Linked DNA regions of Alligator mississippiensis. The protein of the gene in region 2 binds, or shares a complex with, the protein of the main gene of each other region. Links are inferred from orthologs where the notes say so. Each region holds a gene or a part of one and is shown on either strand. Other genes may lie near its edges. The genes, in order: RLIM, ubiquitin-conjugating enzyme E2 E2 and DET1.

Region 1 (7,708 bases), on a different chromosome or scaffold from region 2:
ACTAAAGCTTTTCCATATTGAATGGACATGGCTAGTTCTTGCTCACTTATTCCTTGGAGAGCATAAAAGTCGTTCTTCTTCTGTAGATAGTAAAATATTGAACAATGGTGGATATTCACTAATTGCTAGCATAAGCTTGCTGTACTTATGCTTATGTCTGGTGGTAGAAACATAGCTAGTCTTTTGTTCTGGAATTTGTTGAGTGTGATTGTTGTGTGACCACTAAAATCTTGGAGTGGGAATGGCAATTAAGCTTTTACTGTAGTTAATATATCTGAGTGTTCAGCAGCTTAAAAAATACACCTGTTTAAGTAAAGTCTCTGTCCAGACTCTTGTTTCCAGCGAACTTTAGACGCATCTTGCTGTGCTTCCATAAAAATGTTCAGTTTTATTACTGGATATATCAACTAAAGTTGGCTATAATCAACAGATCTGCACTTACTACTAAAAGACATGAGCCCCTGCAGTCTTTTGTGTCCTCTGTTGACAGCTCTTGGCTGACGGAAGAAAGGAAATTCTGTATTATACTGAGGTAAGAACAAAATCTCACTTGGAGTTTAAAGCAATATGAGCAGTGTAGATAATATGGCTACATCTATATTTTGGAAGCCATATGTAACATAATAGGACAGGGGCGGGCAATTATTTCGGGCGCAGGGCCACTTACTGAGTTTTGGCAAGCCATCAAGGGCTGCGTGACAGGCAGCCGGGGTAGATGAATATTAATTTTCTAAATTGTTAGGGGCCCTGTGGGCCAGATAGAATGGCCTGGCAGGCCACACCCCTGTAATAGGATGTCACCAATGATGCCTGCCTTAACATATTGGCTAACATGGTATATTTTGCCCTTATGTCATTTTTGCCCTACAGTAGCATGCTGAAAAATTGACAACAGCCTTAAAATATTTTCCATTTGTAGACTTCACACTTCAGGACTATTGTGAGTGGAGCGCATATTCTGGGGCTTGTAACTCTCAGAGATTTAACTGTCTAGCAGTTGTTTTTGTGAAACTGTAGTATGAGAACATGTTTGTAGTGCTGTGCGAATGCCACCACTCTACATCCCATTCTGACAAGGCAGGAAGGAGCTATGCTGTCTTTGTAGTACTTCTGGTGTTTTGTAACTGGCATCTAGTATTATAGGGTTTGGAGAGAGAAGCCATGTATCCCATGGAGGAAAGGAAGGACCTCAAGGAAATGAAAAGTACCAGAGAATGGAGCAAGGACAGGGGAATGAACGCTATCTAAGTAGAAAGTTTATTCTATTCCTTTAAGTGGTCATTCTTTGCTGCTTCTTCCCTTGCAGTTATTAAATATAGTGACAAATTGCTCATTTTGAGACATCTGGAGATTAGAGTGGGGCCTTGGACGTTTTGGCTTTTATGCATCAGTGTAGCTTCCCCACTGAGCTTCACTTGCAGAAGCCCCTAATGTAGACTTGCTGCCTCTATATTAGACCTATGGTGTCTACCCTGTTTTGAGAGTGAGGTATGCCACACTAGTGCAGAATTAATACCAGGTGTTTGCAGTAGTGAAGTATAGTGTGGTGGTAGGTACACCAATATAAAAATTTGTAGCAGGCAGCCCTATGTTTAACTGAATGCTCAGATTCACCACTGGTTCCTTCTTCCGGTAATGACATCTTCCTAGGCCAACATGAAACTGTGCAGATGAAAAGGTAAGAAGATGGATTAATGAAAGGAAGAGGACTGAGGAAGGAAAACCCAGTCCAAAATGCAAGCTGGGGAAAAAATAAGGTTGAAAATATTGCCTAAGAGTAATCTTTGACTGTTTTCCGTAGTGTTTATATATTTTAATACACTCGAGTCCACTTTCTTGGCCTATTAAATGATTGTCTCACCTCACTTCTGTTGATGGGACACTGTTCTTGGTCAGGCTTCTGAAACGGAAAAGGCCAGTGTTTTCCATTGGATAATCAAAGCGTGCTCTTAGTCAGAATGAAAATGATGAAGCATTAATAGTTAACGCAGCGTCTTTCTTGAAAGAATGTGTACTTGTCATGGGATTATAGTATCACATGCGTCTTTCAGCATATTGTTTGTTCCTTTTGTTTTATAATTGGGTTTTAGAGATAAGAAACTTTCTTTTCTACCGACCTTTCCTTTGCTGTGTGATAGATCCACATAAATGGAGGAAACTAGCTCTAGAGTTGGAGTTCATTATTCAGTAACAGCTGTCAAATGCATAATGAAAAACTAAAAAAGTATTTTTCTCAACTTTGTACTTAAATGTTAATTTTAACTATAGCAGCCTACATATTTAGGTGTCTCCGAGTTGACAACCTCTTTAACCAAGATTTGTTTAGTACAAAATCTTTTCTAGCACTGTCAAGAGTTCTACACAAACTTAAAAAAGCTACTGTAATAGACAAAGCATAGGTTAACCCCTGTTCTGTATTACTTGTGTGAATTTTGAAGCTCACACTCATCCTTATGAGCTGATCCCAATATATGAGGGTATTAACAGTTACTTAAAATGTACAGAATAGCACACATTTCTCACTTTTCAATGCGTTTGATGGTACGAGTTTTTGGACTGCATCTATGTTTCTCAACAGAGTGACATCAAATCAACTTTCACTTCACACATATAGGAGCCTTCTGTTGGCTACTTTTGCCTGTCAGAGGTGAAAGTATTAGCAAATGCAATTGGTATTTGTGGGTGTCTTCCATTTTGGAAAATAAATACAATACTAAATAATACAAATATGAAAAAAATCTATGCTTTGTATTATGTTAGTGGCAGCAAAGGAACTTGCATGTTAGTTAATAGGATGACTAAAATAAAAACAGGGTTATAGAATCATCATTTTAAAAGCCAAAGTAGAGAATATATATAGTGTGACTGACTTTGTAGTTCTTGAGCCTCATACAGTGGTAGAATGCTGGATTTTATAGTGTTTCTTTCTGTGCTTAAAGCTCTAAAGGTGATGTTACTTTGTGAGTTGCAGTGCACTGGCAGCCACTGAAATTACACAGGCAGAGTGGTCTTGGAGGTGACGCAACACTTCTTATTTGCAGAAGTGCCGGCATAAACTGGGCAGTGTCTGACTTGCCAGCTGTGCTGAGAAACCAAAAAAAGTGTCAGTTCTGTGCACTAGACAGCTGCTAAAGCATCTTATTTGGAAGTTCTCCAGCAAAAGGCAGAAAGTGAAATGCTTTTTTCTTCCAATATTTTCACATAGCTTTAGCTGTTATTTAATAAGAGGGAATATTCATGGTGGCAGTGGAGCATTTTACCACATGGAAAGCTAGCTAGATAACCAGCTCTGTGAGTAATTGCAGATTCTAGCACTTTATGCGGTGGATGGTGAGGCGCATGTATTAAGGAAAACCAGTTATTGTCGAGGTTTCATTTGAATGCATTTGCAAGGGTTTAAGGTTACCATTGTTTCCTGATTTTGTTCGTCCTTTGCTTTTAATACTGATCAGATGAAGACATTACTCTAATGTTGAAAGATGTGATGAAGGTACTTGTCTTACTGAAATAGTAAGAGGGAGACAGGAAGACATTTACTTGATTATTGCTGGCAATATGTCTGGCATACAAGTTTCTTTTTGTCCTCTGAATTCTTGTCATCAAAATTTACTGGTTGCAGACTGGCTTCTAGTGCATCTAAGTTATACTCTCGATACTGGATGCTGGAATTAATTTCTAACCTTTTCCTCTCTTGAGAAAACTAAGGTCTTGCTATCACAGACAAAATGTTTTCTGGAACTCTCAGTGTATTGTGCTTTTATTCAGCTTCTTGGCCCATATTTCTGCCAAATATATCTGGCTGTTGGGGGATCGATGTTACTCTTACTTGGCTGGAAGGCCTGACATGAGGCACTTCCTTCCCTTAAGAATAACTCTGGGAGAATAAAACCTGTAAAACTTGTCTTCTAGTGTAATGTAAAGTTGGATTCAGTGACAACTTGCATCCTTTACAGATTGTCTGAATACATCCTTTAGACTTCTCTAAATTGTGGTTTGTGATTTGCCAAGGAATAGCAGCTCTGAGGATGTATGTGCTAGAACAGGGGTGGGCAAAATGTGGCTTGCGGGCTGGATGCAGCCCACCAGGCCATTCTATCTGGCCCGCAGGGCCCCTAAAAAAAAATTTAGAAAATATTTATCTACCCCTGGCTGTCTGTCACGCGGCCCTCAATGGCTTGCCAAAACTCAGTAAGCGGCCCTCTTCCTGAAATAATTGCCTGCCCCTGTGCTAGAAAAATAGATTTAGACTAGGGGTAAGCAATGTTTTTTGGCCAGAGTGCCAAAAAATCCACCATGTCTACCTTGGAAGGTGGCGGAGTGCCGGCATGTCAGAAAAACAAAATGGGGAGGGTGGTATATGGCAGGACTCGCTGCATAGTAGTATATTTAATAATCATAAATGTTGCCTTTATTGTTGTGTATTCCTTTTTTGTTGAGCATGTTGCAATGAGAGAGAAAAAAAGAGACAAGAGGAAGAGGAGAGAGAGAGAGAGAAAGAAAAAGAAGAGCAGAGAGAGAACCAGACACATGCACACAGAAAACCATGTGCACAAACACAGAGCCAGAACACACCCAGAATGGACACATGCATATATGCATCCAGAACTAGACACGTGTGTGCGCGCACAGATGCAGGACCAGACCAAGGCAGACATACGCACAGAACCAGATACGTGGGCACACGGAGCTGGGCTCCTCTGTCACTGGACAAAGTCAGCTCAGAGGCACACGTACGCCTGCTGGTATGGAGCTAATGCCGGAGCCCAGAGCAGATGTTTGCAGCCTTCCGGCTGCAGCCAGCCAGGGTTCTTGGTAGCTGCTGTCAACCACGGCAGAGCTTGTAGCCACCCAGCTGCCTCCTGGGAGCAGCCTGGGCTTTGTGGCTGGCAGCAGCTGCCTAGAGCCCAGGCCGGTGGTGGCGTGCTGAGCAAAATGGCCTTATGTGCCATGCTTGGCACACGTGCCAGGGGTTGCTGACCCCTGGTTTAGACCTTTCGTGCCTGAGCAACATTGAATATATAAAAGGATGGACCTGAGGTTATGGCCTATAGTTTTCATGCAGCTTTTCATTGTCGAGATGTGCAGTTCTGCTGAAAGTTCTATGTGGTACTGCACTTCTTGATGTTCTTCTCTGGAGAAGAGACGACTGAGTGGGGATTTGGTAATAGTCTTCATATACCTGAAGGGCAATTATAGAGAGGATGGAGATAGGTTTGTCTCTATTGCTGTAAGAGACGGGTCTAGGAGAAATAGCTTTAGGCTGCAGCAGAAGAAATTGTGGTTGGAGATTACGAGAAACTTCCAGACTATACGATTAGTTAAGTATTGGAGCAAGCTATCTAGAAGTTGTGGAATCTCCATCGATAGAAATTTTTAGGAGCAAGTTAGACACTTGCCTGGGATAGTTTAGTCACGGAGGGTCTTGCTGGGAGCATGAGGCTAGATTACATGACCTTCTGAGATCCCTTTTAGTTCAACAGTCTTACGTTATTGCGTCCAAAAAAGAGAGACTGATTTTTCAAAACAATTTAAATGCTAATCCCTGTGGTCATACAGGATATCCTCATAACTGGGACTTCTAGAAAAATAAAATTCCATGTTTTATGTTTAAGATGCTCAGTTTAAGTGAATGTCCAGATCAGGAACAAGTAAATCATTCCTCTAAAAGTATCATTAAGTTTTATAGGTTACCATAACTTACATGTACCCATGGTTTAAAAATATTGTTTTTCTTTTTTCAGATTCTCTTCCACTCTTTCATCAACATGGAAAGCTCAGATTCTAATGATAAAGGAAATATTGATCAATCAGAAGCTCAGCGTCGTAGTCAGCTGGATCGATTAGATCGGGAAGAAGCTTTCTATCAGTTTGTCAATAACCTGAGTGACGAGGAGTACAGGCTTATGAGGGATAACAATTTGCTAGGAACTCCAGGTATATCAGAATACATATTTGTATATTAAAGTTTTAATGTTACCAGACTAATTTTAATGACCTGTTTTTTTTTCTTGCTGCTGTGCCATTAAATTCCCCCCCCCGGTATTCTTCCAACTACAATTGTATGCCAGCGTAAGAGAGTAGCTCTCTACTTATCTGAACGTACAGTATGTCTTTTCTAGAAAGGCAATACATATAATTTAGCGCTAACTAGGATGAAATTGAGTTAACAGAAGCAGAGTTTATTTGCTTTGTTTATGTTTACTCAGCTTAAAAAAGGACATCCAAAGTTTGTCTGAGGCCTGTTCTGGTATTGGCCTTGTGTATGGGAGAAGGTTGCACCAGCTTAATGAAGAGTACAGATTTTAATGGCAAACTAGCTAAACTGGTGATGGCCTTTGTGAGGAGTGTATTTCAGTTTAGCTTATTCTTGTTAGAAATCATCTTGGAGAAACAAAAATAAGCCACTTGAAAAGATTAAATAAGTTTGTCCATCCAGGAGCTTGCACTGGTTTACCTGAATTGCTATTAAAACTTGCAAGATGGCTTTTTTAATGCATTCCTAATAGAGGTAAGCTAAATTTGAAATGAGCCAGTCCAAGAAAAATATGCCAACACATGTTGGTAATAAATCAGTTAAAAGTAATACCTCTTATAGTTGTCTCATATAGGCAGAATCTTAATTGGTTTGGAATGGAGAAGACTGATGAGATTTTTCTTAGAGATTACAGGAAAAAGCTTTTCTCAATTTTGTTCTAAATAGTTGGTAACTGTATTTTGGATGCTGCAGTTGTAGCTGGTCTTACCTGTGAGCAAGGATGCTTTGGGGGGTTCCACAAGCTGCCCTCTGGCTAAATTTCTAGAAGTCAGTGAAGAATATTTATAAGCAGTTAGCTTTTTGTTAAAAGAATATTCACAATCTCTCTGAACTGCAGTCTTAAGACTGTTTAAGATGTACATAATTCCTTCCTTATAGAGATTATTTGGACATACATATATATTGGGAAATCTTTCTTTGTTTCTTAAGGTGAAATTACTGAAGAAGAGTTGCTGAGAAGGCTACACCAAATTAAAGAAGGTCCACCACAGCAAAACAGTGATGAGAATAGAGGTATATACAGTATTTGTGAAAACTCTTAACTTTAGCACCTAATACGGACCTTAACTTGAGTGCAGGAGTGGAACAAGTTAAGCCTAGGCAGGTGCAAGGTGAGCTTTGTTTAAAAATTAAGTGAACGTTCTATTTGACACAACCTGCAAAGATCAGTTTTGGACAGATTTCAAGTATGGCATCTATTACTAGCGCCACAATAAGATTTCTTCTACGTTTCTTTAGTTGACTTTTTTTTTTGTTCAAATTTCTTTGCATTCTGTTCCCTTCTGAGATATACCCATAAGTCCCTTGTTTTCCCACCTTCACTCCTTTTGCTTTTGTTATCCCTCTACAAAGGAGAAATACACACAGTTCCCATTAGAGCAGTGCTTCCCAAACTTCTCCTCAGCATGACTGCATTTTCTCAGCATGACCCTATTTCCTTAGCCTCTCACTCCAAGCCACAGCCCTCCACCCCATCTGCTGATGTTGTGACTCCATTTGGGATCGTGACCCACAGTTTGGGAACTGCTGCATTAGAGCCTGTGACTTGTTTGTTTGTTTGTTTTCTAGCCAGCTCATCTCACTAGGTATCATAGATTTCATAGATATTAGAGCTGGAAGGGACCTTGGAAGATTATAGAGTCCAGCCCCCCGCCCTAGGGATCATAGGATCCC
Region 2 (7,813 bases):
GGCCCTGTGTGGCTGAGGACTTCCTTCTAACTGCGGGGATCCCCAGCAGAGAGTGTGTGGGTCAATTCCATTTCCTTTGCAGAGAGCAGACAATCTGCTTCAAAATCTTGATTATGGTCAATTGATGTTTTAAAAATATATTCAGCTTCAGGCTAAAAGGTGAACACCACTGGCTTAGAGTTTCTTCCTTTTGTATCAACTTCCTTCTCAACCATGCATAACTTGTTTAACCCTTGTCCTCTCCAACCTCCTGATTTGTATATGCTATTTTTTCAAACACAGCTAAATATCTGTTAAGCTTCCCCAATAGGATGTAGTCCTACATACAGAGGAGATTAACAGATCTTCTGTATTTTATCCATCTTTGATCAGAAACCCAAGCTTCGATCATGTGACTTTAAAGGTTATGAAGCCATAGCAAAAGAAGGGGAATTGGGAAAAGAAAAGAAGTAAATTACTGACTTATTTTTTTTACCCTCACCTCACGAGGTCTTACTGCCTCAATAGGACAGTGAAGTAGATAGAAAATGTGTGTAATTTGCAGGCCAGTGTTTTAGAATACCTTTGGAAATAGTAAGTTTTATTTTGGGTTTGCAGTTTTTTGTGTCTGTTTGTTGATCCCTGCAGAACGTACAAGAGCAATACATTCCTAAAAACAGTAGCTTGGTCTTGGGATTCAGTTATTAGCAATTTCTGTCTTTAACCGATCATGGTATTATCCTCTGCAATTATATTAAGTTGGGCTTTAAACTAGCACATAAAACAAGCCTCCATTCATGACACTAAGCAGTGATTTATTTCCTACCCTGAAGAAAGTCAGGCTTTTATTAAGGACACGGAAGCAAGTTATTACTTCCCTCCCACCCAGACTTAATATGTTTTATCTTTATTCTTTTGAATCCTGGATAGCAGTGTGCTTGAGAACTGCGAGGCTCGCTGATTCCACATTGTTATTGTTCTAGTTTTTTCTTTTGGTTCCAACTGAATGATAGTTAGTGGAAGCTGCTTCACTAGCAAAGGAGAGGAGGAGAAGCTGAAGTTTCCTGATTTTATAGATGATAGTAGAAGGAGAGAGGTCTGTGGTTGTTTGCATGGGACTTGAATCTATTTTCATGTTTAATGGCTTGAACAAATTGAGATGAACAAATACATCCTTATACTTTGGGAGCTTTTACACTGCTGCAGATCAAATAAAGAAGCCAAGCTAGTAATAACTTGTCTCTATGCTCATAAAATCAGTTTCCTTTAGGATGTTAGGAAAATTCTTTGCTTAAAATAGTTTCTGTCAAGGTACTAGGGAAATAACAATTTTTCTTCTTACTGTAGTTGTCCATTAAGGCTTAGGGCCAGTATTTAGAATTCAGTCATGACTGCTCTGATTTAGGATGTTATATTTTAGCAATCACAATTCATGCAATTAAACTGAATATGTAACATGTTTTCTATTGTAGGTCTTTCCACTAGATCTCTCCCTGCTGCTCCACAGCACTCTATTCTATATGCTGTAGAGCATGCTGGCAGCTATAAAGTAAAATGAATAAGAATCTTGATCTCTGAGTCACTGAAATGCTGTGTCTCAGTGCTTCAGAGATCAGGAGTCTTGCAAATTTCATTTTACAAGTGCCAGCAAACGGAGTAGGGATCAGCCAAGTGGCAACAAAAGCAAAACAAGATCACAGGGAAGGTAGACACGTTTGGAAACAGCATAAAGAAAAAAATTACTTGGAAATGGGGAGAAAGATAAGTATCGTTAGGGGAAGTACAGGATATGTGGCAGGCCAGGTCCTCTAGTCTATTCTGCCTACTTTATGGTACTCCACCAGTGCAAAAAGAAATGACATAGCCAGCACTGGAGGAGGAATCTTTGGTTAGCACAGCACTACCACAGAGGCTCTTGCACCTCCCTTTTAAGCATAGCAGGCACAGGTAGGCAAAAAGGGGCATAGATGACACAGAACCCTTGAGGCCAAAGCCATGGGACTACTCAAGTTGTGTGTGTGTGGTGGGGGGTGTATAGCTGATATAGCTCCTGGATAGCAGAGTAAGGTGAAAACAAAATAGATACACTTGCACTGAGAAGATCTGAGATGGATCAACTATTAAGGTTGAGATATCAAACACAAGCTTGGAAATGCAAACATAAACAATTGGGCACAGTTAATAATCTGTAGACATTTAACTGCATAAACAACAATGCTAAAATTACTAAAAAAGAAAAATCAGAATAGAAAAGACTACATGCACACACAAAGAACACAATTTAGAAGTGCAGTGGAACCCTTAACTCTTTAATTTCTTGACTTAGTGTGCTTGATACTTTGGCCTTACTTGATTTCTAGGGCTCTTTTAAGTCTACAAAGAAGAGGATGGAAATCCTCTTGACTTGCTGTAGAAGGAGAGAGAGAGAGAGAGTGAGTGTGTGTGTGTGTGTGTTGGGAGCAGGGGTCAGTGCTGCTGAATCCCCCTGGTAATACACATTTATCTGAATGTTTTCTAAATGAACTATTCTTAAATGAAGTCCAGGCTGAGGTATCTTTATAGATGTTAATTGAGATACCTGCCCTAATCCAAGGCATTGTTAAATCAAGAGATCTTAACAGAAGTGTGCTTTATGTAATGCAATGGACTCTATTCAAGCCATAAACTCAGAAAAGAAAAAAAAATAGCTATGTCCTTACCTAGAGCATGCACTTACCCAAATTCAATGTAGATAATATTCATTAACAACAGAAACAGGCTGCCCTGGGACTGGACAGAAAGGAGGCCTGAAAATGTTTTTTTCCCCCCGTTGTCTGTTTATTATCATCATCTCTTGCAAAGGGGGGCCCGATACTAAAAGTTTGTCCGGGGCCACCAGGAGTCTAGATATGGTGCAGTCAGTATGTGCATGAGTACAGTCCACTGCACCATATACCTAAAACACGCTCAGATCAGGGGTCTCTGTGTTAGGTAATCTTTAATGGCAGTGTCTGTATTTCTGAAAGCTATAAGCTCTTATACTACAAAACCAAATTTGGTAACTGTGTGTCCAACGATTGAACAGTCATTTAAAACACACATAAGAGAACATGCTGTAACGGGCATATCTCAGCATTAGGAGAGAAATTCATCAGGGGAGTTTTGCTACTGATTTCAAAAGGGCCACGATTTTCCTTGTCTAGGGTCCAGTCTTACGATCGTGAACAAAACCTGGAATACAGTGAGTGGTGCAGAAGGCAGGGCATAGACCTTGTGGGCAAACTACGGAAGATGCTTGTGGAGCAGGAGCTCCGACGCTCACTTCAGCAGAGGCTGCCCTCAGATGAAGGGCGCTGCAATTCACAAAAGCTTGTACGTCTTCCTTAGTTAGCCCATACAGTGCGTCTCTGGCCTGCCTCCCGTCACTGTATTCCAGGTTTTGTTAACAATTGTAAGACAAGTAAAATCCTGGCCCTTTCAAAGTCGGTGGCAAAACTCCCCCAGGATGAAGGTTACTCATAATGTCGAGACATGCCCACGACGCTCTTTTCCCTCGTGTTTTTTGAACGGCTGTTCCAGCACCGGCCTTGGCCGCAGACCCAGCAAGGCTAAACGACCTCTCTCCAATGGCCTTTGCAGTTGGCCTAGCCCAGTTCTTTCAAGAGACCAAAATGCCAAAAAACCACCAGTGGTGTGGGGCAAGGAGGGGCAGATGGTTCCCCAGGGTCTCTATGTGGGTGAGGCTGGGTTCAGTCAAGACACGATCAATGTTATTATCAGGACTGTGACTGATGACAATGATGATGATCCTAGTGACTATAGTAGCAGTGATGCCGCTGGTGCAAACCCCAGGCCCAGCTGGGGGGAGCCCATTCCCGGGGCGGGGGGTGATTCAGGAGTGAGTGAGAGGGGGGGGAGGCCGGCGGGAGAGCGAGGAGCACCCGGGGCTCCCCCAAGGGGCCACCGGCCCGAGGAGTTTTTGTGTAGCCGGGGCAGGAGCGAGGGCTGAGAGGGTGCATGGGGGCACAGGGCAGACCAGCCCGCCCATGCTGGGGGCAGCACCCCGCAGCCGGGTGACTGGGGCTGTTGGGGGAGGCGCGGCGTGTGCGTTCCCCTTTAAGGCGCGCTCCCCCCTCCCCCGCGGCCCCGCTCGCTTGTCACTTTTCCTCCCCCCGCCCCCCCCCCGTGCGTGCGCGCGCGCCGGGCTGCCGTGAGCGCGCACGCGCGTCCTCGAGCACCCGTCCGCCGCCCCTCCCCCCTCCTCGTTGGGCGTCGGGGGCGCGCGCGGCGGCTCCGCGTCTCCTCGGGCGGCGGCGGCGGCGGCAGGAGCCGGAGCCGGAGCCGGAGCCGGAGCCGGAGCGGCCGCGGGGGCAGCGCGGGGCGGGCTCGCGCCTCGGGGAGCGGCCGGAGCCGGAGCCAGACCCGCAGGTAACTGGGACTCCCCTCTCCCCCCCCAGCCCCATCGCTGCCCCCGGAGCCCGGCCCGGCCCGGCCCAGCCCGGCCGCCCCTCCCCCGCGCCTCCATCTCGCGGGGGCGGGGCGGGGCCGCCATGTGGGGGGTCCCCCCCCGGCACGTGGGTGTCCGTGTCCGTGTCCTCTCCGACGGTGTTGCGTTCGTGTGTGTGTCCATCCCCACCCCCCGTATGTGTCCCCCCTTTCCCGTGTCCTTGCCCCCTCCCCCGGGGGTTGGTGTCAGTCCCGAGCCGCATCAGCACCGGAGGGTTTGTCCCTCCCGCAGCCCCCGGCCTGGCGGACTCAACCCTGGTCTCCTCCCGGTCCTCTCTCTCCCCCGTAATGTTTTGATCTTTTTTTGCCCTTTACGGTTTCTAATGAAGATGAAGTGAGGCGGCGGCGGCTGCTCGTGGACCGGCAGAAATGTTCCATTTATCTTTGCTTATAGGAAATTAAGGCCGCTTCAGAGAGACATCATCGCATGCCCCTGGGACCCAGCCGCATGTTGCCAGGATCTCTTCTTACCCTTGGTGATGGCGGTGGGGGCTTATTTCATTTTATTTTATTTTACTTTATTTTTGTCTGTTTGAAAGGACACGGTATTTAGAAATGGAAGAAGTGTTTGCTTTTGGGCGCTTTGTCACTTAAATTTTGTCGAGGGAGTTTGGCGCCAGGTCTCTTATTACCTTCATTTTTTTTTATCTTCACCCCCTTCTTTTGACACGAGGGGAGCATGAGGTTCCCCTTTCTGGATGGGAAATAGGGAATCCAGTGCGGACATGGTGGTACATAGTGGGAGGTTGTTTTAGAGTTTGTTACTGCTTGGGGCAGATTTAGGAATAGGTGGCTAAAAGACCTCTGTGTGTTTGTATGGCATAAGGATGTGTTTGTTAATACTTACACAAGAATCTGTCTCTTTTTTTTTTTTTTCACTGAAATGTTTCCCCACCACACCATCCCCCTGTTGTTGTTCCCCTGAACCTGTTGTCTTGCTGTTTTTTCTTCATAGTTGTGCCCATGTTTCAAAAGTTTGACTCCACCAACCCTTTTAAATCTCCTTCTCATGGTTAAATTGAACTTCCAACCACTTAACATCACTTTCTTTATTTGAATATTTGTGTCTGTGTAGAAGGGGAAAGGGGAAGAGAGGTGAGAAAATAGCCAGATGTCAAATGAGAGATTTAAATATTTCCTTGTTGTAAAAGCTGGCATTACCACTTACAGTAATTATATGCTTTGGGCTACTGTTACAGTGTTTATCTGTTGGGTAGTAACTTGAACTTACAAAGTGAATACAGACGTTTGATAGGAGAATCGTTCACAGGAGGCATTAGGTATAAAGAGTCTTTATTAAACACATTGCTGACTTTTTGGCCAGCATTTATGCAGAACGGGTACATTGTATGGAGAATGCCCTCTCTTTACAATTAGATGTCTTAATGAAAGATCAGTGTCTAAATAAAGGCTATCCCAGATGCTTTAAGAAAAAATTGTATTATATTCTACCTCCATCTGAAAATAAAGTAAAATAGTACATATGGCTACAAAGTCAAAATGTGCCTTTAATAACTGTAACAGTCTTGAAACTGTCAGCATACAGCTGCTTTGTGTTTATCATCTCTAAATCTTCTGTTTCTTTCCCTTAAGATTTGACAACTGGGATGTAAATACCTAAAGATTAACCTGTGTTAAATTGTGAATTACATAAAAGACATTATTATGTCTCTGATGTAGGGAAAAGTTGTTTTTTCAGAAGAATTGCTCATTCTTAACTTCCAGCAATAAAATACTGCCTTGCTTTACATTCTCAAATGCACCACCAAGGCTGTTTTGGGTACTAGTTTTCATAATCAAAACAAAGTAGCGGATGATAAATTAGGGTAATCTCTTCTAGCATTCTTCATCACTACCTCTCAGTATCTTACTCCCTTTAAAGGTTCTTGAACCATCCTATCCCTCCAAAGTTCCTGTTACTTTGATATATAATCTTGTAAATTATGCAGAGATTTCATTCATACTGAAGTCAATTGGATTTAATCCCATGAATAATGACATACAAAATTGGCCCTTCATTGCTTAAATAATGGTCTCCAAAGTAGGTGTTCTTTGACCATTTTTGATTTTGATAAGGCTCCTAACTGAATAGTAGGAGTAAATTCTTTTTTATACAAGAAGCATTAATCTTCTTTTTTTAAATGTTTTTTCTCCCTATAATCCAAACAGTGTTCCTTTTTCTTTCTCTGTCCTCTCTTTCTATACCTGTGTGGGAGATGCCAGGCTTTTATTACAGTGGTACATTAATGTTTAGTTAGGAGCTTTCAATAAAGTTCTTGTGAGTTGTATGTGCAGACTATTGTGCGATTCTTACATTGTCTGTCAAAGAGCCTGAAATCCTTTCTCCTTTGGGGGACAATGGCAGCATAAAATAATTGAGACGTATTTTTCTGTAATAAGTGCATGATCTCTTTATGTAGTTTAAAAGGATAAAGTTACAATATCCGTGGCCTAAAAATTTGGCCTTGTCTGCAACAAAGGTAGTTTTTAAAAAAAGGAAGAATAATAATAAATATAGAAGAACATGGTCATGTCATTTTGGTACAATTTAGATTATAAACTGGGAGGTAAAAAAGCTTTCCAGTGGTGGTTCAGATTTTTAATAAACTCATCTAAATCTTTTTGCCACTACAGCTGGCAATCTCCTAGAAGGGGTGAGGCGCAGCCCTCACTAATGACAGCTTTGAAAGGGATGACAGCTCTAACGGTTGTGCTTTATTTTTCTTCAACTGTTGGTATTTTAAGTTCCATTGATGAAAGTGAAGAAAGAAATGGAAATAGCTCACTATCAAAAGAAGTGTGGAAATACTGTGAGAATTGGATACATGAAATATATCAAATATAATAAAATTAGATTTCTAAATGCTTATTGTTCTTTGACAGTTTTTTATGATGACGAGTCAGTCCTGTGCTCAAAGGACAGGCTTCGGCACACAAATTCCCTTACGTTAATTCCGCCAATATGCTTAACCCCTAGTTTAGAAGTACCATCTCTAGAAAAGGAAAACAGTTCACTTTCAATGCCTTGCTGTTCTCCTAAGGTGTCTGTTAAAAGTACAAACTAAGATGTGGATTTTGTCCAGATTAAAATGGAAGTCTGCCTAATTGGACTGAGTCCGGAGATTTATTTCACATGGACTAACGTATAGTCTTTAAGAAAGTAATAGCTGCCAGTTTTTAACACGCTGTCAGACTTGAACCAGTACTCTAGTGATGCAAGACTCAATCCCTTTGCCACTCCTTTGAGCCTATCCTTCTTATTAACAGTGGCTAATAATATTGACTCATTTTATTCTCCACTTAAGTAAAATCGGCTGTATGTCCTTTTAAAAAATGTTAAACATTAATA
Region 3 (8,139 bases), on a different chromosome or scaffold from region 2:
GTCATGAACTGTCTTTCCACCTGGCCTCCCTGTTGCAGGTGATGGAGAACAGAGTGGAAATTCTCCCCACACTTTATGAGCCATGACCTCTTTTGTTTGTCCCCCTCCCCATCATGTTGTGAGATGCAAACATGCTTCTTTATGGTCAGGAGGAAATCACGTATTGGGAAGTTGAATCCCATGAAAGACACCCCATAGAAAGGATCACAAAATTATGTCCTTCTGCTTTGAAAACCAAGAGATGATCTGCACCCCAGGGATATTGTCTCCTGAGCCAATTTTCAGCTCTGCAGTCTCTGTTTTCCACTTTTTCATTTGGGCTGTTTCTTTCTTGCGATGAGCCAAAGTTGCCACAGTAAGATCTGGCAAGTACTGCATTAAAAGCACTCGTTCAGCTCTAGGTAGAGATGACCATGTTTAATAGGACTATGCATGTAAAAAGGACAAAGAGATTCTGCTCCCCACTACATCTCCTGTGTGAGATTCCAGCCTTAGGAAAGGCCCTCTAATTTCTACATCTCTTTTTGCTATCTCTACTCCCTACCCCTCAAAAAGCAGTATTTCTGAAGGACAGGACCAAGGTGCTTCTAGAAGTAAGTGGGATCAGGCAATATACTTGTCCCTACACCAGTCAGAGTTGACTGGCTTCCCACCAATGACCACTCTGACCAATTAGTGGCCATTACCTAGAATGGAAGCTGAGGAACACAACACAAGAAATGATGCCAACAAGGCAACAGAGGAAAGCCTTGGATGGAGGAACCTCCTCTGCTATAATCCCCACTAAGGGGGAGGCTTTTTCAGATTATCAGGAACAATCAGATTTAATTGAAAAATGACAAGGAACTGGTGCAAAGCCACCTTCCTGGGGGAAGGTGAGGGATGGCTGAAACACTGCACTGCAATGCTGCAGCTTTACACCAGCTCAGGGAAAGACAGTGGTGAAAAACTGACATAGAGGTTCAGTCCCCTGTACAGATTTTCCCTCTCATTCATACATCTGTGCAAGTCAGAAGTATGTCTTCTCCTCATCTCTTGACAACACTTTTGTCATCTCTTGTCATGAATAGAAAGGGTTCCCAAAATGAATGATCCATGCTGCTGAGCTGTTACTTTTCTACCATTTTAACCTGTTGGGCTGAGAGGCCTGGTACATCTAGGTAGGAGCCAAGACTGACAATAAATCCAAGCAGAGTGGTTAATTATGAACAGCCCCCCAGCATGAGAAAAGATGTCTTACTACAATGGGAATTAGATTCTGCCCCTGTGTTGCAAGGCAAACTGTGAATCCCAGGAAAATATCAGTTCAGTTCCTTCTGGACAAGGGTTCAGATCAGAAAAGTTTTCCTTGTTGGTACCCCAGCACAGAGACCAAGGAGGCCCTAGAGATGAACTCTCTTGTGCCTTTGAAATTCCTCTTTGCTGGAGGAGCTGATGTGTGGGGAAGTAAGTGCATACTTGCTATTGCCTGCAGTGAGGGCCTGCACAGGCATCAGTCTCCAGAGCAGCTGTACTTGTCACCAGCCCAACATTCACATTGAAGATGAATAACCCACTGGGTTATGCAGTGTCCTGATAGCAAGAGTTGAGCAGTATCCACCAGGGACTGGTTCCATGTGCAGCTCAAGACATTATTTCCATCATGTGTAATTGTCAATGTGGAGGTCTGTGGTTGAATTAAACACTCAATACACAACACAGATGTTGCTGAGACTCCTGGTGAGATGAGACAGAGAATTTCTAAATACTGAAGAAAAGCAGGGGCAAGATTGTCAGGCTGATGATGGTTCAGGCCCCCGCCCCCCCCCTCCCCCCTGCTGTGGGCCTGGATGAGGAGGCCAGTCCATGTGATTTCCTTCTTAGAATGAGACCTGCCTCCATAGCACAGATATGGTGAGCTTGGTCATCACAGGATGTGAAGGTGGCATTGCATTGGGTTCATTGGAAAGTCAGGTTGGAAGGGACCTCAAGCGGTGACATCCAGCCCAGCCCCCTGCTTAAGCAAACTGGCCCAGCCAAGGGTCTGTCCAGCCTGGCCTTGGAAACATTCAGGGATGGAGGTTCGACAACATTTCTAGGCTGATCAGAAGTGGGTGGGGACAATCCCTCTTTGATTCCTGCTCCACCTAAGATTTAAAACCAACTACCTGGGAGGGAGAGCAGCACATTTCTATTCAGTCAGTGCTGAGAGTCCGTTGACTTCATGCCTTATTGTCATCTCCTGAATTTCTGCTAATTTTTCTCCACTCCACAGCTGGTTACGACCCTCTCTCCTTTTTAATGGTCTAGATGTTCCACTATGCACACTATCCTTTCTTTTGCAGTGTTGCTGTCTGCCAGCACTTCCTGGGAATGATTGTGTAACAGTGAGGTTGTTGCTGTGATGGTCCAGAAATGTGAGAGGCAGGGATTTCTTAGGGCAATATCTTTTATTGGACCGACTATGTAGTACTCTGAAGTTCTCATAGTTGTGTTGCATACACGGAGTTGTGTGTGTTACCTAGAGGACTGCAGCTGATGAGTCCCCTTAGAATGATGTTATGTTCCTTGCAAAGGCTTAAGAATATGTCACTGTTGTTCCAAATTTCTTCTGCATAGTTGTGCTGTATATAGTTGTGTATGACTGCGTTTCTTGCACAGAATCTGCAATCCTCCAGGTATGGCCTGAAATCTTGTGGTTGCCACAGGAAACACTACAATGACACATTGAAAGCAGACCTCAAGAAAACAGATGCAATGTCAAAACCTGGGAGGAGTTGGCTACCAACCAACTCCAGTGGCGCCGCAACCTCAACCAAGCAGCAGCTTGTTTTGAGGTAAAGCATCTCATCCTTGAAGCAGAGAAGAGAGAATGGAGGAAGGAAAAGGAGAGAAATCCTGGCCTGTGGCCTACTCTCCCCTGCAAAAAGATCTTCACCTTCTGTGGACAGGTCTGTGGCTCAAGGTTTGGACTCTTAGGTCACCTCAAGACTCATCAGTGAGTTGTGGTAGGGAACATCCTCCAATTGAGGGGTTGCTGCTACCAACACATAGGAACATAACATCAGGCCAAGGTGACTCATAGATTAAATAGATTTTTAGGGTCAGAAGGGACCTCAGTACAGTAGATCATCAAGTCCGACCCCCTGCCCTGGGCAGGAAAGAGCGCTGGGGTCAGATGACTCCAGCCAGGTGCTTCTCCAGTCTCCTCTTAAAGACCTCCAAGGTAGGGGAGACTCACCATCTGCAATCCTCCAGCCAACATACACAACTTCACATGTGCAACTCTGGAGTACAACACAGTTGGTCCAATAAAAGATATCACCCTAAGAAACCCTTGCCTTCCTCAGAATGGCTCTTTCACAGCCCGGCAGCCCATTTTCAGCTCTCGATAAAACCCTGAACTCAGGCACAATCGCATGAACCCAGGTGTAGAAATGACTGATGAGGAAGTCCCAGAGACCCATGGAGGCACTCAAGGAGGTGAGAGTTTATTCTAGAAATTGGAACAAGAGACATGCAGGGGGTTGTAACAAACAAAAACATTCTTCATTTGGAGGCAAGTCATCAGGGGAAAGTGCTGACAGCAAACCCCAAAGTCAGTTCAGACTCCCTGAAAGTGACTTGGGCTTGGCGTATGCTACATCAATTATTTGATCTAATAAAATAATTCATAGATTTCATAGACATTAGGGATAGAAGGGGCTTTGAGAGATCATTTGGTGCAGCCCCCTGCCCAAGGGGCAGGAAGTCAGCTGGGGTCAGATCACCCCATCAAGACAATCAATCATCCAGGCATTTCTTAAATTATTGATCTAATAAAATTATTTGATTTGACAATTATTTGATCTAAGAAAATAAAATAAGATAAAAATTACCCAACAAAACTTGTCTGTCAACTATGACTGTCCATTTCTGAACACTTTGATCACACAAGGGTTGACACGATGCTACAACTGACTTGGCATAGGCTGCATCCATGAGCCGCCTCAACCATTATTTGATCTAATCCAATAAAATAAGAAAAGAAAATAAGAAAAATGAGTTGGTTTAATAGAAGAGATCGTACTGATCCAAAGAAACCTGTCTGTCAACCATGACTGTCCATTTCTGAACACTTTGATCACACAAGGGTTGACACGATGCTACAACTGACTTGGCATAGGCGGCACCCATGAGCATTATTTGATCTAATCCAATAGAGCAAGAAAAATGAGTGGATCTAATAAAAGAGATCGCATTGGCCCAAAGAAACGTGTCTGTCAACCACGACTGCATTCCTGAACACCTTGAAGGGTTGACACGATGCGAGCATCCCCGCACTCACCAACAGCCCTCAGCGCCGCCTCCGCCCGCCAGGGGCCGCTGCTGCCGCAGAGCGCGAGGGGACACTCTACCCTGCCCATCCCCCCTGCGCGCCGCGTCCTCTATGGTCTCGGGGGGTCACTTCCGGGCCGCTCTGGCCCTGCGCAGTCGTTCGCAGCGGCGCCGTGGCGGAAAGATGGCGGCCGCCATGGCGTGAGGGGCCGCGGGAGCCGGGCCGGGCCGGGCCCCGCATGGAGGTCGAGGCGCCGACGCTGCGGCCGCGCCGCATCCAGAACCAGAACGTGATCCACCGGCTGGAGCGGCGGCGCCTGAGCTCGGGCCGCGCGGGGACGCACTGGCACCAGGTGCGCGTCTTCCACCAGAACGTCTTCCCCAACTTCACGGTGGTGAACGTGGAGAAGCCGCCCTGCTTCCTGCGCAAGTTCTCGCCCGACGGCCGCTACTTCATCGCCTTCTCGTCCGACCAGACCTCGCTGGAGATCTACGAGTACCAGGGCTGCCAGGCGGCCGAGGACCTGCTGCAGGGCTACGAGGGCGAGATCCTGGCCAACGGCAACGACCAGCGCTCGGTCAACCTGCGCGGGCGGCTCTTCGAGCGCTTCTTCGTGCTGCTGCACATCACCAACGTGGCGTCCAACGGCGAGCACCTGAACCGCGAGTGCAGCCTCTTCACGGACGACTGCCGCTACGTCATCGTGGGCTCGGCCGCCTACCTGCCCGAGGAGCCGCACCCGCCCTTCTTCGAGGTGTACCGCAACAGCGAGTCGGTGACGCCCAACCCCCGGTCGCCCTTGGAGGATTATTCCCTGCACATCATCGACCTGCACACAGGCCGGCTGTGTGACACGAGGACCTTCAAGTGCGACAAGGTCATCCTGTCTCACAACCAGGGGCTCTACCTCTACAAGAACATCCTGGCCATCCTCTCCGTGCAGCAGCAGACCATCCACGTCTTTCAGGTGACGCCCGAGGGGACCTTCATCGACGTGCGGACCATCGGGCGCTTCTGCTACGAGGACGATCTCCTGACTCTGTCGGCCGTGTATCCGGAGGTGCAGCGGGACACGCAGACGGGGATGGCGAACCCCTACAAAGAACCCTTCATCAACTCGCTGAAGCACCGGCTCTTGGTTTACCTGTGGAGGAGAGCGGAGCAGGATGGCAGCGCGATGGCCAAGAGGAGGTTCTTCCAGTACTTTGATCAGTTGAGGCAGCTCCGCATGTGGAAGATGCAGCTGTTAGATGAGAACCACCTGTTTATCAAATATACGAGTGAAGATGTGGTCACCTTGCGGGTGACAGACCCCTCCCAGGTAGGGCCCGTCCTCTCAACTGGGCAGTTACAAAAATAAAAACTGTCGGCTGCATTTCTGGTCCAAACGCTTGTTTCAGACTGAGTGGTAAAAAGGGAGGCTTGATTAGGGATAATTACGTAACTTGGATCCTCTTCTTGAAGATATTGAATGGTGCCTTTGGTATTTAATCACCGTGGTATTTCTTGCTGTTCATGATCTCTCAGATGCCGTGTAGACATTAGAAAAGCGTGCCGTTCATTATTCCTATTTCCCAGCAAACTGAGATCGTTCTGTGTTCTGCTTTGGGCGCGTTGTCTAGTTTGTTGTCACATTGTGGTAGCATTAGAGGTTTTAATCTGTATTGTGGTCTTACTATTTTGGGTATTTTAACTACCCAAAATGAAAGGATCTATACTGTGAACAATGGTTTTAGTTTTAAATGTACCAAATGATGAGACTGCTATTTTCCTTTCACAGACCCCTCTACCCTTTAAAATTCTTGGTTAAGAATTACTTCATGCCAGTCATCCGAAAAATAAATAAATTAATGACATCCATTGCAGCCCTAAATACTGCACCTTCTTTCCACCATGGTATCTACACCTTTTGGTATCCAATCCCTGTTTCTGCTGCCAAAACTGTACATGTAGTTTGTCTTTAAAAATAGCTTCTTGTATCAGTCTCTTCAGTCCTCAGATAATCTTATTCTTGCCCCCTCTCCCATTCCCACCAGTTTGTTTCTTCTAAGGCAATGCCAGAACTGAACAGTGGTTCAGAGGCAGTAATGCAAAGTAATATAACAAATAGACCATTTGAGAGGTCTACCACAATTTAGCCCTGCACCCTCCTGGAGTGCTGCTCTGACCCCTTCCCCTGCCTGATCTGCTGCTCTGCTTTCTTTTCTCTGACCTGTGCTCCCTGCTGGACCTGCTGCTCTGCTTTCTGCTCCCTGCCCTAGCTGCCCCTTTGCTGCCTGTCTTCTTGGTCTGTGGCATGCCACATATAGAGGCTGCCTTGTACCCTTTGTAGCACACATGGCACACTTTTGCCATTCCTGGAATAGACTATTAACTTTCTTACTCTGTGATGTACTTCTGCACATACCACCCCACGCTTTTTTTTAGCTTCCATAGTCTGACTCCACCCAATGTACTGCCAACTACAGTTTGTAACTCGTGGACTATTTACTGACCTGGAAGTCGTTTTAGCAAAGAAATAAGCTTGTCACTAAGCTTCGGCTAATCTCTGTGGTACCCACAAAACATCCCCCCACACTTTTACCTATCATTTCTGTCCCCGTGTCCCCCCCCCGTCTTTGTTTCAATCCATTTGAAGCCAATTCAAGATTACTTAAAAAAAAGACTAAATGACATAATTCCCTTCTCTTTCTTATTTTTAATTCCGATACATTAAAAGAAATGTAAGGATTCTGGCAAGACTTCCTTACAAATATTTCATGCTGCTTATTGTTCACTGTTTTGTTTTCTGTGGAAGTTTAGTGGTAGTTTCCCCCTTGATCTTTATGTTGTTCATTTACTAGGACTAGAAGCTATCGTGAAGGGATAGTGGTTGTCTGTATGCCATATTAATCAGTTGCGGGGTTGCAACTAATGGTGTGCACAGTGGTTTTAACTGTTGAGTTCTTGAGGGCTGAGTTTGTTTTGCAGATGCAATGTTTGAAGTATTTACCAGATATGGTGTCATGTATTCTAGGGATATACCCAGACAGGGAGTCTTTGACTAAATGATTCACAGTGAGGTGCTCCTGAGTCTCTTCTACTAGTCCAGGAGTTTTGAGGATGTTGGTGACCCAAAAGAACTTATGCTGCCCTGGCTAGGTGAATGCTATGGACTCTCTTGGATTGATCTTCCTTGGTTCCCCAGGCATTTGTGACTGGGTTGGGTCACAACCCAGTCACAAATGCCTGGGGAACCAGGCCTCTCAGACTTCATAGCTGATTCAGACTGGGGCTGGTTTGCAGTGTTAGATGCAGGTAGAACACTAGACTGTTCCTTCAGGAGGTGCAGTCAGTTTCTTATTTCTTTCTGGGTAAATTCTGGCTGTCCAATCACTTGAGCTGCTGAGGTAACCAGCTGAGTTCTATGTAAAAGCACTGGTGGCAAGGGCTTCCCTTTCCACAGAGCGGTTGGCTACAAGAGTGGTTCTTGACCTTTTTCCTAACGGGACCCAGGTGCAAAGATCCATGGCCTGTCCTGACCCATACCCCCCTGGCCCTGCTGCTGCCCAACCCACAGCCCCCTGCCCAGCCCTGCCAGAGGACCCCCCAGCTGCCCCTGTCCCACTTGGAGCATGGTATTTGTGGCACCTTCTGCTCATGCAGGAAGCAGCAGCGTGAATCTGGCCCTGGCATGGTCTGGAGAGAGGAGGAGGAGAGGCCTGTGGCACCCCCCTGCTCTGGGCTGGGGCTGTCACAGTGTACCAGGCAAACCTAATCAGGTCATGGCTTCTCCCATCCCCTGAGCAGCATCTCCTGACTGCCCTGTCTGCATGAGCATGAGCACTGTCCTGGTGCCACCT

What was found.
Region 1: the proteins of ubiquitin-conjugating enzyme E2 E2 (region 2) and RLIM are in contact, whole or in part, in a crystal structure (PDB 6W9A), measured with the Homo sapiens proteins. The link is inferred for Alligator mississippiensis from reciprocal best matches to the Homo sapiens genes UBE2E2 and RLIM. Residues at the interface, in NP_001357154.1 of Homo sapiens: Lys52, Thr55, Lys58, Arg59, Lys62, Pro112, Asp113, Pro115, Phe116, Ile142, Asn146, Trp147, Ser148, Pro149, Ala150, Leu151, Thr152; in NP_057204.2 of Homo sapiens: Ser571, Val572, Cys573, Ile574, Thr575, Cys596, Arg599, Trp600, Pro608, Ile609, Arg611.
Region 3: the proteins of ubiquitin-conjugating enzyme E2 E2 (region 2) and DET1 are in contact, whole or in part, in a cryo-EM structure (PDB 9BJZ), measured with the Homo sapiens proteins. The link is inferred for Alligator mississippiensis from reciprocal best matches to the Homo sapiens genes UBE2E2 and DET1. Residues at the interface, in NP_001357154.1 of Homo sapiens: Ala77, Gly78, Pro79, Lys80, Gly81, Arg88, Ser89, Thr90, Gly101, Val103, Phe105, Phe123, Arg124, Thr125, Arg126, Ser134, Gln135, Gly136, Gln194, Trp195, Arg198, Tyr199, Ala200, Thr201; in NP_001137546.1 of Homo sapiens: Arg258, Phe259, Tyr261, Asp264, Thr267, Val268, Phe272, Glu274, Asp289, Pro290, Phe291, Ile292, His297, Arg298, Leu300, Val301, Trp304, Arg305, Phe319, Phe320, Gln321, Phe323, Asp324, Arg327.

Annotation. Positions count from the first base shown.
Region 1 is NC_081831.1:65,171,667-65,179,374, reverse strand, and holds the start of RLIM (E3 ubiquitin-protein ligase RLIM), read left to right. Parts: upstream 1-4,452; 5' UTR 4,453-4,577; coding exon 4,578-4,742; intron 4,743-5,741; coding exon 5,742-5,934; intron 5,935-6,964; coding exon 6,965-7,048; intron 7,049-7,708. UniProt on the Homo sapiens protein: E3 ubiquitin-protein ligase.
Region 2 is NC_081828.1:148,516,083-148,523,895, reverse strand, and holds the start of ubiquitin-conjugating enzyme E2 E2, read left to right. Parts: upstream 1-4,246; 5' UTR 4,247-4,386; intron 4,387-4,842; exon of another isoform or gene 4,843-4,858; 5' UTR 4,859-4,940; intron 4,941-7,813.
Region 3 is NC_081834.1:14,196,626-14,204,764, reverse strand, and holds the start of DET1 (DET1 homolog), read left to right. Parts: upstream 1-4,447; 5' UTR 4,448-4,535; coding exon 4,536-5,618; intron 5,619-8,139. UniProt on the Homo sapiens protein: Component of the E3 ubiquitin ligase DCX DET1-COP1 complex, which is required for ubiquitination and subsequent degradation of target proteins. The complex is involved in JUN ubiquitination and degradation.